Linked DNA regions of Macaca mulatta. The protein of the gene in region 1 interacts with the protein of each later gene in a biochemical or structural test. Links are inferred from orthologs where the notes say so. Each region holds a gene or a part of one and is shown in the gene's direction. Other genes may lie near its edges.

Region 1 (4,763 bases):
AAAGAATGGACAAGAGGATGAGAATGTGGTTTAGAATAATCCCCATTGGAAAACCTCCTCAAAGAGCATGTCCAGTGGATTGGGTCATCAATGTCATTTTTCTAGGTAAATACTGACCCTGAGGAGTGTGTTCTACCTAGACTGGCTTGACTTTCTGAAGGCATCCATAGTTACAGCCTTTACAACAGTTGAACTGCCAGCAGCGTTAAAGAGGCTTTCAGGTTTTTTGTTTGTTTGTTTGTTTTTTAAATCATCAATGCTTTGTAGGTGACTACAGAGATTTTCCATCATTAAAAAAAAAAATTAGTTCTGGAATGAATAACCACAGCTTAATTCAATCTTTTGCTTACCATCTTCTGAAGCTTTCCCACAGCAAAATGCCTTCTTTGCTCACAGCTAGAACCGTGGGTCTGTTTAAGTTTGGAAAGATCTTGAAAGCAGCTTGCCAAGAGGTTTTGTATGCAAGGAAGAGAAGGTGAATTAGGAAACTTTCCCAGTTTGTTTTATTCCTGAAGCTTAAGTATTGAGGCTTCCCTCAAGTATTAAGGGAAGAGAGGAACTCATTTTTAAAATGCATGATTTGATGAGTCATTGGGTTCAATTAATTTGATACTTACACTGTAACATTATTAGAATAGGGGAAAATAAGATATTTAATACTTTTAAGAAAGATTTATTAAGTTTGGGAATAAGGTTTGCATTTTGGTCAGTGTGTATATATATATAGAGAGAGAGATGAATGGGATTCGTTCCAGTTACATGTAAACACTCAATTTAAGAGTCTTCAGGGTAGAATTGTCATGCTAGGATACACCAGCAGGTGGCAATGTGTCCTGGTCTCATCATTAGGAAAGTGCCTTGGCTAATCTGCTTCTATTCTTTCCAAAAATAAACATTACAAAATTAGCTGGCTGTGCCTTGAACCTAAAAATCGAGCAATAAAGAGTCGTCTCTGGCCTCTGTTTATCTTTTCCTTTTTTTTTTCCACCCCCCCGTTCTAACTAACGTCAGTGTGAGCTCATGCCTCTATTCGGGGATAATGATCCTTTCATGAACTGTTGTGGAATGACTTTTTGCAACAGCATTGTTAAGAGGTAATTGTTTCCTCTCTCCACATCCACTGTTTATTAGATTTGATTTGCTACTTGGATTCCACAAAATGGCTGAAATTCCTTGCCACCAACATAGGTTTACGCTCAAAAGTCTGAAAATAGTTGGATAAAGGGAATAGCCTCTTTAGACGTTTGCAGGCAGAACTGAAGAACTGCATTATACGTGGTACCTAAATTGCCATAATACTGAATTATTCAATCATAAAACTAGATGGGTATCTAAATCTCTCTACCCAGAAGGGGAAAAAAACGAAAAAACGTTTGGAACCCTTCAGAGAGAACCGTAATGCTATTTACTGGATAAATATACTTCATTTTCTTCTCCCATTTCTTTCCACAACACACTTGTTAAGTCGCCATGCAAAGCACCATGCCTTCTCAATTTGGCAAATAACACATTTCATTTTGCCAAGGCAAAAACAGCCTAAAAGCAATATTTATACCGAGAAGCCCTGGCTGCAGTCCCCAGCTGCTCTCCCTCAGCCCTGCGCCTCCCGCTCCCGCCGCGCTCTCCCCCCGGAGCCGGCAGGTGCCCAGGTGAGCGGGGCCTGCGGAGGCAGCGAGGGGCGCCGGCCGGGCACTGGTAGAACGCTTGCAGCCAGAAGGCAGGAGAGAGAGTACATTCCCTTAAGGAATAAAAGTTTCCAGGACAAGGGGGGCTGGTAATTTCCAAAGAGCCTCCCAGCACGATGTCCTAGGGATCTGGGGGGCGCTCTCAGGAGGTCTCTGGTGAAAGTAGACTTAGTACAAACTGGCCTCGAAAGACAACGTCTCGGCACTCAGGGGCCCAGGCGCCGCGGGAGGTTGGTGGGCCTCCCGGGGCTGCACGGGTCCCACCTCCCTCCGCCCCGCAGGACTACTTTTCCGCTCCCCCAAACAGGGCTCCGGCGGAGGCGTCCTTACAAGGGCGGGAGCGCAGCCCTGAGCGGCGGAGGGATCCCGGGTGAGGCGGCTTCCCGAAGTCAGAGGGGAGGGGGCCAAAAAAGTCGGCGGGGGACGGGAAGCGCGAGCTCGCGCCGGACGCGGCCAGGGCCGGGAAGCCAGAACCGGAACCGGAACCCGCGCGCGCGCCCGCGTTTGCGCGGCCCCCACCGCCGCCGGCCTCCTCCGCTGTCTGCGCGCGCTCCCGCGAGGGCCTCCAGAACCCGGCGAGCCGGCCCTGCGCGGGTAGAAGCCGCCGCCTCCGCCTCCGCCTCCCGGACCAGGGCTTCCAGGCCGGGCCGGACGGGCATCTCCCGCCCCTCGCGGGGAGCGTCGGGGAGGAGCCGCCGCCTCTGGCGACTGCGGAAGAGTCCGGGCCTCAAAGGGATGGGGAGCAGCCCGCGGCGCTGAGAGACCGGGGTCCCTGTCACCTCGGGCCGCGGGACCCTCCCCCGGCGCCCGCGGCTAGTCCCAGCACCGGGAGCCTGGTGGGGGCGGCGAGCAGAGGAGGAGCCCCGGGCCCGGGACATGGAACCGCGCGAGCCCGGCGCGGGACGGCCGGAGACGCGGCCAACGCTGCGGCCAGGAGCAGCCGGCAGCCCCAGATAGAGAGCCGGGAGGGAGGGCCCCGGCCCTTGCCGCGGCGGGGAGTTCGAGGCCCCGAGACTCCGGAGGAGGAGCCGACACCCGTCCCAGAGCTGATCCCGCCCCAGCCCCGGCGGGAGTCGCGGGTCCCCTTCCCACGGCGCGCGGACTTCTCTCTCTGAGGAAGTTTCTCCTTGTGCCTTCTGGAGGATTTGTCGCTAGCTCGACTCACTCTGGACTGACTCGCTCCCTGGCTTTCTCAGTTTGTTTTGGGAGATAACTTGTTTTCCTCCAACCCGCATCCGTTGACCCCTTCCAATCGGATGGTCTAGATGACTGAATGGAGTTTTGAGTTGGACTTTTGTGTCCCTGACGGAGTTGGGCCTGATCCCAGAGCACTGGGGGTGGGGAGGAGGTGTTACTGTAAAATGCAAGTTGGATAAAAGGAGGACCTCTCGCCAAGGGCCCCAATGAGTGGCACACAGTCTACTATCACCGACAGGTTGGTATGAATTCCTCCTTCGCTCGGCCTCCCGGAATCGGGCCCGACCTAGCAGGGGAGTCAGATTGTCTTTGGCCAGCGAAGTTGACAGGCAGAGGAAAGAGGGTTGTTTCGGAGCAGTGCAGTTAGCCTGGGGTTGCTGCCGAGTTATCCAGTTGATTGGCTTTTGGAAATGTAATTTTTCCGGAGAGAAACTTCCCTCCCGATTCTCAGAGAAGGGGGAGGCAAAACCATTATTGTGGTTTTCCGCCTGTAGTGTGCATTAGGATTGTGTACTCGTCTGGAAATCAGAGGAGAAGGTCATTTTGGGTGAAGGTCGGTGCCTGAAGTCGGCTTGGTATTGGTGTATTATTTCTCAGCTTTAGCCCTGTCCTGCAGTAGGTTCTCAAGACAATTACATTTTATGAATTTCTACCTGTGAACTTAATGTTGAGCCTACTGCATGGTGACCTGGGAACTTGATCTCTTTGAGATGTTGACCTGCACAGTGTTTAATTATTATCTAATAACTTTCCAGAATGTTGACATTACCAGTAAATCACAGGTTCTTGCTGGAAGCAATGTCCAGGAGCTGAAGAAATGAGGGTAAATCATGGGATTTGCTTTTAATTCTTGTATTTAAATATTTCATCTTCCAGAAACACTTGGCGTTTAAGAGAGATAAACCGTAAGCATAGTATAAGCGCGCAGCTGAATTTGTTGAGTTCTGTGTCTGTCCTTTATAGCACTTACCAGTGTTGCATGGTGGTGTGTGGCGAATGGAGCTAGACCATGTGTGGTTGAAGTACAGTTTGCTTATCCTAAGTTACTTTTGTTTATAGGGCAAGGGATAAAAAGTATATTGATTCCTTGACCACATTTCATTTCTCAATTTCATTATGACACTGCATGCCAGTCCGAAATGTCAGCTTGCTTTATTTTTAAGTTAATCTTCAAATTATTATATCATGAAAAAATAGATCAAGTAACTGAATTAGAGGGTCAAAGCTCTTTGATAAAAAGTGCAACAATAGTGCTTCTGCACAAAGTAGTCTAATTTCCTAATAAGAGTTTTACCCAATTGTAAGACTCATTTGTTGATTTTAAAAGGGCCAAATTCCATTATCATACCATAACAGCTACTCCAGAAACAGAACTTCCTCTTCCTGTTGATGCTTTCCAGCATCACATGAATGTTCACTTAAAAGAGTCCGTTAAATATTTAAAGCATTTATATTTACTCTTTGTGTATTTTTCAAAGTGGGTTTTCATTTTCAATGAAATAATTTTTAACTTTTCCAAGAATACACTTACTGTAAGTATTGACAATGCTTATCTTGCTTTCTTCTGGTTATCCCCATTTTTCCCCTTTCAGGGTGTTTCATTTCTGAGAAGTCACTTTTACCGGTGTGGGGATAATTGTTTTCCTGGTTCATTCAATTACGGCTTTTTCTGTTGAGCCTGTAAACAAAAGTCTTAGTAGGAACTAATGTAATGTTGGTTTTCATTGCGATGCTGAGGTGTTTAATTTATAGAAACAGAACGAACTCATTCCACACACAAGTGACTTAAAAGCCCTCAAGTAATGATTTTTCTTCAGCATTGCTTCTCAGAGATTTTCCTTGTCTTCTGGTTATCTTGGAAATAGAATCTTGGGACTTCTA
Region 2 (4,560 bases), on another chromosome or scaffold:
AAAGGTGAGCAGAAGAGTCGCCTGCCTCCAGCAGTGTCTGTCACCGTGACTGGGCAAGGAATGGGTTTGGGGGTGGCTCTGTCCCCTGGGGTTTCTGGGTGATTTCCTGCTTCTGTCCCCAGGGAGTGCTCTCAGTCAGAGGCAGACAGATGAGGTAGAGGCTCAGATCTCAGGGTGGGGTGTGCAGGTATTGCTGTGTGTCCTTGGCCCCCCCTCAGTCCCTCTTTGAGCCAGGCTTTTTGCCTGTCCTGCCAGGAGGTTACACTCGGGTCTGATTTGACTGCGGCTCTCTGGTGTTTTTGTGGGGCTGTTCCACCCACTCCTCCATCTGTCAGGGAGGGTTAGGTATCTTCCCCTGAAGACAAGATTGTGTCTCCGAGGGACAGGACCTATAGTGGGAGGTCCCAGGTGGACTCTAGTACTGAAGGAGAAGGGGGTTTGGGTAGACGGGTGGGCAGGACGTGGCTCTGGCTGATTTACCTGTCCACCCTTTCCTGGCATTTGATGCCTGCTGACCCCAGGCCAGGCAGTAAGCAGGGAGGCACCTGGGTCCAAGCTAGCTCTGCCACTGTTTGCTTTGAGCCTCGGTGAGTCACTGTCTTCTGAGCCTCAGTTCCCTGTTCCTGGAATGAGGATACCAGTTTTTAGGATATGATCAGAGTCAAAGACATCAGATTGCACTCAGGAGATAGTCCTCTCAGCCACTATCTGGGCCCTCCTCAGGTCCTGGCATAGGAGGAAAATCCTAGGGAAATGGAAAACCTCAGAGGTGGGTCTGTAAGAAATACCAGAGTCCTCTCCTGAATGGTGAGAGTTTGCAGATTGTATCCCCTCATCTCTTTCCCCACCCCAGGTACAGCAGCAAGAACCCACAGTTCCGCCCTTAACCCCTTCCTGGGGATCCCTGCCCTGCTGCCTGCCTGTGTATCTGCCAGGTGTCAGACCTATCTGCCCTAGGTATTGTCAGTCTGCTTGGGGCTCGTTGCCTCTCCTGCTGTCTCTCTTTGCTGCCTTCCTGTGTCTGTGGTTGGGTTCCAATCTCTCTCGCCACTTGATAAGTGCCTGACTTCACCTGTTGGGCACATGTCACATGTTAGGTGCCTGTTGTTCATGTCCCCTTCTGTCTCTGCCTGTTGGGTTTATGTCTTCATCTGTCTCTGCCTATTGGATACATGTCCCCTTCTGTCTCTGCCTATTGGATACCTGTCCCCTTCTGTCTCTGCCTGTTGGGTTTATGTCCCCTTCTGTCATTGCCTGTTGGGTTCGAGTCACCATCTGTCTCTGCCTGTTGGATACATGTCCCCCTCTGTCATTGCCTGTTGAGGTTTGTTTTTTTTTTTTCCCAAGGCAGTCTCGCTCTGTTGCCCAGGCTGGAGTGCCCTGACGCGATCTTGGCTCACTGCAACCTCTGCCTCCCGGGTTCACGCCATTCTCCAGCCTCATCCTCCCAAGTAGCTGAGACTATAGGCGCCTGCCACCACGCCTAGCTAATTTTTGTATTTTTAGTAGAGACAGGGTTTCACCATGTAGGCCAGGATGATCTCGATCTCCTGACCTCGTGATCCACCTGCCTTGGCCTCCCAAAGTGCTGGGATTACAGGCGTGAGCCACCGTGCCCAGCCTGCCTGTTGGGTTTATGTCCCCTTCTGTCATTGCCTGTTGGGTTGGAATTCTCTTCTGTCCCTGCCTATTGGAGATGTGTTCCTTCTGCCTTTGCCTGTTGGGTTCATGTCCTCATCTGTCTTTACCTATTAGGTACATGTCCCCTTCTGTCTCTGCCTGTTGGGCTTGTGCCCCATCTGTCTCTGCCTGTTGGGTTTGTATCCTTATCTGCCTACACACATTGGGGATGAGTCTCTGTCCACCTCTGTCTGTTAGATATGAGTCCCCTCCTGCTTCCCCTTATTGGGTACACATCTCCATCTGTTTTCTATTGGATATGAATTCCTCCTGCCTCTGCCTGTTGGGTGCGTGTCCTTATCCATCCCTGCCTGTTGGGTATGTGTTCTCTCCTGCTCCTGCCTGTTGGATGCCATTCTTCTTTTTTTTTTTTGAGACAGAGTCTCGCTCTGTTGCCCAGGCTGGAGTGCAGTGGCATGATCTCGGCTCACTGCAAGCTCCACCTCCCGAGTTCACACCATTCTCCTGCCTCAGCCTCCCGAGTAGCTGGGACTACAGGCGCCCGCCACCACACCCAGCTAATTTTTTGTATTTTTAGTAGAGACGGGGTTTCATTGTGTTAGCCAGGATGGTCTCGATCTCCTGACCTCATGATCCGCCTGCCTCGGCCTCCCAGAGTGCTAGGATTACAGACATGATGGATGCCATTCTCATCTGTTTCCACCTGTTGGGTGCCTGCTTCTGCCTGTTGAGTGTCTCTCTTCATCTGCCTCCACATATGAGGCACCTGTCTTTGCCTGTTGGTTACCTGTTTGCTGTTGGGTACCTCGCTGCTGTTGGGTACCTGTCTGCTCAGCAGCTGCACTGGCAGAGGGCTTTCCCTTTGCAGACCCACAGGGAGGATGGGGGAATGGCCAGAGGGCAGCCCTCGGGCACTGAGGAGTGGGGGAGAGAGAGGAAGGGAACGTGGTGAGGGTGTAGGCCTGGTGCTGGGAAACCACAGGCCCTGAGTGATTGGCTCCCTTGGGCCGGGCCCAGCCCCCGCCCTCACCCTGCACATCCGCCTTGGTCCCGGCCACCACCGCGGCAGCCCCGGACTCTGCCTGCTCCTGCCATGGTGCCGTGGCCCTGCTGGGCGGATGGAGCAGGATCCCAAGCCGCCCCGTCTGCGGCTCTGGGCCCTGCTCCCCTGGCTGCCCAGGAAGCAGCGGCCCAGGATCAGCCAGACCTCTCTGCCTGTCCCTGGCCCTGGCTCTGGCCCCCAGCGGGACTCGGTGAGTGTACCCAGATGTCTGGTCCTGGCCTGGCTGTGTCCCTCGCAGCAGGTGCCTGGGAAGCCAGCTTAGCGTAATCTGGCTTTGGGCTGTCCTGGCCCAGGCCTGGCCCTGCGGGGTGACTGGACCCTGCCCAGACTTGCTTCCTGGGTAAGTGAGGAGGTACTTCAGGGCTTCAAGGCAATGGCAGCAGATTAGAGGGAGGGTAGAGTCCTGGAATGGCTAGGACGTGGCAAGGGGCTTCTAGTAGGTTTGTATGAAGGAAGTTTGGGAAGATGAGCCATGCAGTCTCTGGCCTTAATTCTGACCTGCCCCAGGCCAGCACTTACCAAGTTGATGGGGGAGTTTGGGTGACTCTTGGGTCTTTGTGCACGTCAGCCCTGTCCTACTGACCAGAGGGATCCCCTCATCCCATCCTGACCAGGAACGAAGGCCCAGCTCTACCTCCCCATATGAGAACAAACCTACTTCCTATTGTGGCAACCCTAAAGCAGCAGGGGGAGGGAAGCCCCACAGGCAGACCTGGGGCAGGTCTCTGGGTCTCAACCGGAGCCTGAGGTTGACTCAGCCTGGCCATGCCTGGGCATCCCTTTGGGCCTAATCAGGCCAGAGCATCGGGAGCAATAGGAGTGGTGCCTCTTCTGTTTGACCTCCCCAGCCTTTGAGGCCCTTTTGAAATCAATGACCTTGGAGGCTGGCCCTTCAGGGAAGTCGTCTGTTGGGCCTTTAGGTCTCATCTGCTGAGGTCTGGTGGGAATGGCCTTGGGCAGGGGAACTCCTGCTGCCCGGATGGGGCCCACCATGCCCACCAGCTCTGTCCCTCCATCAGGATGAGGGCGTCCTCAAGGAGATCTCCATCACGCACCACGTCAAGGCTGGCTCTGAGAAGGCTGATCCATCCCATTTCGAGCTCCTCAAGGTTCTGGGCCAGGGATCGTTTGGCAAAGTGAGTCATGAGCCCGTGGCTGTGAAGGCAACCCTCGTCATGTTAGAGGTGGGGGTCAGTGGTCACCTAGGGGCCCAAAGGATCAGAGGTCACCTTGGTACCCAGGGAGAACAAAAAGACCAGCTTGGGGCTCAGAGAAGATGGAGGTCAGCCTGGGCGCAGACCTCTCCCATCTTCTGCCCTTGCTTCCCTCTCTGCCTTCTCAGGTCTTCCTGGTACGGAAAGTCACCCGGCCTGACAGCGGGCACCTGTATGCTATGAAGGTGCTGAAGAAGGCGACGCTGAAAGGTGAGTAGGGACACCTCCCTGTGCAGAACCCAGGCTGGGCTGAGGGAGGCAGCCCAGACTTCAGGGGCCTTGGGTCTGGCAAGGGAGACGGCTCTGTCTTCAGGAGCACCTAGTTCAAAGGTGGAGAAACAGGCCTATTTCTCAGCCATCTCTCCCCACCCAGTCCCCCTCCCCCTAAGCCAAGTGCCAATGACTGGCTGTGAAGGTCTGGAAGGTGGTAACAGGGTAAATGTAATATGTTTGTCAGAGGGCAGGGCCCTCAGCTACTTAGCTGGTTAAGCAGAGGCGTTCTGACTGTTGATGCTAGCAGAGTCTGAGGGAGACCTCTGTGGCCCCTAACTCAGGGGCCTGAGAGAAGGGTGTGAGTGAAGAGGCAGGGAGCCCAGGGAGGCAGCTGGGCCAGGCGAGAGAGGGTGAGTCCAGGCAGGGCCA
Region 3 (4,012 bases), on another chromosome or scaffold:
TTGCTGTCTTGTTCCACCAACCAGCAGGAGGTTCGGGTTGTGAATCAAGGTTTTGGAAAGATTTTGCTGAAAGGCCCCTTGCTTTCAGTTGTAGTTACAAGGCAAGACCTGTTTTTTTCTCATCAGATGTGGAGCACAAGATTATGTGATGTGGCCGGGCGCGGTGGCTCAAGCCTGTAATCCCAGCACTTTGGGAGGCCGAGACGGGCGGATCACGAGGTCAGGAGATCGAAACCATCCTGGCTAACACGGTGAAATCCCGTCTCTATTAAGAAATACAAAAAACTAGCCGGGCGAGGTGGTGGGCGCCTGTAGTCCCAGCTACTCGGGAGGCTGAGGCCGGAGAATGGCGTGAACCCGGGAGGCGGAGCTTGCAGTGAGCTGAGATCCGGCCACTGCACTCCAGCCTGGGCGACAGAGCGAGACTCCGTCTCAAAAAAAAAAAAAAAAGATTATGTGATGTGTGAAGGCAGAGCCGCGATTGGCACTGATGTTATTAATGCACAGCATTGGTGGTGGTGGGTTCAAAACAAGTTTCCTCTATTCCACTTGAGAAGTGTGTTTATCTGTCCCCCCAGTCCTTCCTTTCTCTCTCCTAAGACAAGTCCAACTTATGATTCTCCTTTCCATGGATGTATATAAAGACAATATTTTGTTCATGGTGAGAGGCCATGCTTTATAAGAAGTTAATGTTTGTTTTTTGCCTCCTACTGAGTTCTGGCGGAGTTGGGTGAAGGAGTGTCCAGCTGACAATATGATTGAATCATAAAGGCTGGCTTTCTATCTTACAAGTGAAATGTCCGAAAACAGATTTGATTTCTTTCAATTCATTCTGAGAATAATTTATTTGTGGGATAAAACCAGTTAAGTAAGATTTAGTTCCTTATAAATTGTCCAGAATATCCTGTATGTTTTGAAGTAGAGTGGAAGCTAGAGTTTGTAAAACCAGTTTCTGAAGTCAGTATTTGGCAGTAAATGCCTTTCTTTGACTACTGTCTTTATTTTGTAAATCACATAGTTTGGTTTAACTAGCTAAAATGTTGACAGATGTTGGAAAGTAAAAGGTTTTCCAATAGGGCTAGGTTGTATCATGGGGTGGAGCGGGGAAAGTTGGCAGTAATGTTTGCTGTTGGGCACACGATTTGGAAATGTAGTTGTTTACCAAAAAATGATGTATGGGCCATTGTGCTTCCCCTGTTCCTGCCTTCCAGATAATGTTCTGTGTCACCTCCCTCCCCTTGTCACTGCCTTGATGTCATCAGCATTGAGAGCTGTGCAATCCCTAAAAGTGTGGTGTTGATAAACAAGTAAACTACTGAGTATACTTAATGATGTAATCCCTGTTAAACGTGGTGGCCGGGCTAGGAGAGGGGTTTTGACACAGAATTATTTTGCAGTGCATCAAACCTAAGCAACTTCTGACAGACACATGTGTATATTGTGTTGGTTTTGAAGGAAGGGCTGGAAATTTGTTGATGTGTTGACAAAGATTTCTGTGGCAGTAAATGTGGTTTCTTGTGTTTTTCCCTTCCAGGAAGCTTGGTTAGCTGGTTGGTTGGTTTGCAGAGTGTGAGGATTGTGGATAATCAGCCTCATGTCCTTACCCTTCCTCCCCCAGTATTGTGAAAGCAAATGTACATGCCCTGACCTTGTGGTTTTCTGCTTGTTGGAATGAACCTGTCTGTGTTGGGCAGTTTATGCCTTTGGTGGGACCCCCATGTGCCACTACACAAAGAAGGACCATGTTTTCCTCAGGGGAATCCATGGGCTGAGAAGACTAGGGAGCCAGAGGCCCTTTCCCCAAGCCCCCTGCTCTCCCCTTCCCAGGTTCTGGCCTAAGGACCAGCCAGAAACCTGCCGAGCGTCAGCCAAACCTGCAAGTGGCTTCTGGGCTGCTCCGTTCCCTGTGTGAGCTTTCCCTGTCTGCTGCTGCTGCCGCTCTCCCCTCCATGGCACTGATGAGCTTCCCATGTTCTGGACTTTCTCATTTCCCTGGGCAGATGGAATTCATCCCATTTACTCCCTGCCTTTTGCCTATTCCTAAGACCAGTGACCCCAGCCAAAGGCCTCAGCCCTGTTTTCTCACCATTGGTCCGTGGCTGACCTGAGGGTTGCCCTTTCTCCATCTGGGTGCTCCTCTCGTATTCTGTTTGTTTTTGTTGGTTCCTGTAAACATTAGGATTCTGTTTTAAGGTTTCTAGGGGGAGCCACAAAGCCCATTTTTTCGTATTTGACCAAAGCAGCAATTAGAGGGTCACATCCTCATGCCTCATCTGCCCTTTTCGGTGTGAATGTCCTCTTTGTGATGACTTTATGCACTCCCTTTTGCTTTTTGGTTGTTCCAGTCTCCATTCAAATCCATGACAAAGACTCTGCCCTCTCGTGGGCAGGACCTTGGTGAGGCCACAGGTGCTCACTGCTGAGTTGGGAGGAGGCCTGGGTGGGCTTCAGGGACCTGCAGAGTGTAGCAAGCACAGATGCTTGGGGTTGGGGGTGGGCCCGCAGCAGAAGCCCCCAAGAAGAGACCTGAGGTCCGTGGGTTGCTAGGCTCCAGGCATCTTTATTTCCACAGTCAGAGCAGATCCAAGGAGCCACCACCATAGGCTTTCATATCCCTCTGCCCCAGGTCTCTGGGGCCTCTGCCACACACCTCACCTCTCCCCTCCTGCCCTAATAAATCTTAGCGCAGCTGGTAGGTTTGCCACCTTTAATGCTTAACCGTAAGGTCTGTGACCAGATGGCTTGAGTGTTCTGATGACACAGCCAGGACTGCCTGGCCAAGAATGGCAGAGACACTGTTTGCCTCTAGGTAAAATCGAAGAACCACTCTGAGAGCCAGGGGGTGGGGGTGAGAGTTTGTGTGCCCATTCTGACACTTGCATAGTAGAAAAAGCAAGATAATGAGGAAGGACATCCCCGTGTTATTCATGCGTTCTTATCCAAGGGGGCTGAATAGCTCCTTCTATTCCATGGTTAAGATTCTTCTGTTACTCTTACTCAAGTCATAGAAAAGACGAAAGAGGTAAAAGCACTTAAAAGCCACATTTATCTCTTCCTTGCAGACCTGAAAGGAAGCGGAGAGATGTCATGCAAGTGGCCAACACCACCATGTCCAGCCGAAGCAGGAACACCACGGTGGCAGACACCTACAACATCACAGATCTGGAAGAGCTAGAGACAGAGTACCCTTTCTTTGAGAGCAGAGTGGATAATAAGGAGAGAACTGTCATTTCTAACCTTCGGCCTTTCACATTGTACCGCATTGATATCCACAGCTGCAACCACGAGGCTGAGAAACTGGGCTGCAGCGCCTCCAACTTTGTCTTTGCAAGGACTATGCCTGCAGGTACGGTATATCCGGGTGGCCCCATTGCCACCTTCCTCACAACCTAGTGGAGAAGATGTGTTTTATGGACAAAGGGTCTGACACCCAGGGCCACAACCCTTAGACTGAGGTCTGCCTGCTAAATAACGTGCGATCATTGGCAGGTGGCGTAGTAGACCAGCTGCCTAGGGAATAGAGCTCATGCTTTCCTAGTGACACCACTCCCAGCCTGGTCTCTCCGTGGAACATGCTGGGAGCAGGGAGCTGTCTGCATGGTCCGCCCTCCACCTGCTACTCGGTGCACATCGTGCACTCCCACTGTCTTTTGCCCCTCTTGTGCACAAATCGGGTTGCGGGGCCCCCCCCCAACCCCGAGCTCTGACATATTCAGAGATGTCTCCAGTTAATTGCCTCGATCCAGAGTAACCAATGCCCCTCAAGATCAAGTCCTGGAGTAGCCTCTGGTCTTGCTTATTTAGCCTTTGGCTTTCCCTTGTTGTTAGACACTGCCTGTCACTCGGGCATTCATCTGTCTTTGAAGGTGGGTGCCTTCAAAGACAACAAGAACTGCCCTGTTCTTTAGGAAGCCTCAGGCGGTAGAAAGAGCATGGAGGTGATAGGAGTCTGGGGCTTGGGGTCCTCCTCCATGCAGTTCTGGCACTGAAGTCCATTGTAGCATGCCTTGAG

Evidence for each region.
Region 2: the proteins of ARHGEF12 (region 1) and RPS6KA1 interact in a test that uses a peptide from one of them, tested with the Homo sapiens proteins (2 studies listed by BioGRID and IntAct, with this or other methods). The link is inferred for Macaca mulatta from reciprocal best matches to the Homo sapiens genes ARHGEF12 and RPS6KA1.
Region 3: the proteins of ARHGEF12 (region 1) and IGF1R form a complex in vitro, tested with the Homo sapiens proteins (2 studies listed by BioGRID and IntAct, with this or other methods). The link is inferred for Macaca mulatta from reciprocal best matches to the Homo sapiens genes ARHGEF12 and IGF1R.

What each region holds. Positions count from the first base shown.
Region 1 is NC_133419.1:121,022,996-121,027,758, forward strand, and holds the start of ARHGEF12 (rho guanine nucleotide exchange factor 12), read left to right. Parts: upstream 1-1,613; 5' UTR 1,614-3,088; coding exon 3,089-3,120; intron 3,121-4,763. UniProt on the Homo sapiens protein: May play a role in the regulation of RhoA GTPase by guanine nucleotide-binding alpha-12 (GNA12) and alpha-13 (GNA13). Acts as guanine nucleotide exchange factor (GEF) for RhoA GTPase and may act as GTPase-activating protein (GAP) for GNA12 and GNA13.
Region 2 is NC_133406.1:214,442,087-214,446,646, reverse strand, and holds the start of RPS6KA1 (ribosomal protein S6 kinase alpha-1), read left to right. Parts: upstream 1-1,692; 5' UTR 1,693-2,759; coding exon 2,760-2,894; intron 2,895-3,723; coding exon 3,724-3,840; intron 3,841-4,046; coding exon 4,047-4,128; intron 4,129-4,560. UniProt on the Homo sapiens protein: Serine/threonine-protein kinase that acts downstream of ERK (MAPK1/ERK2 and MAPK3/ERK1) signaling and mediates mitogenic and stress-induced activation of the transcription factors CREB1, ETV1/ER81 and NR4A1/NUR77, regulates translation through RPS6 and EIF4B phosphorylation, and mediates cellular proliferation, survival, and differentiation by modulating mTOR signaling and repressing pro-apoptotic function of BAD and DAPK1.
Region 3 is NC_133412.1:89,165,064-89,169,075, forward strand, and holds part of IGF1R (insulin-like growth factor 1 receptor precursor), read left to right. Parts: intron 1-3,062; coding exon 3,063-3,346; intron 3,347-4,012. UniProt on the Homo sapiens protein: Receptor tyrosine kinase which mediates actions of insulin-like growth factor 1 (IGF1). Binds IGF1 with high affinity and IGF2 and insulin (INS) with a lower affinity. The activated IGF1R is involved in cell growth and survival control.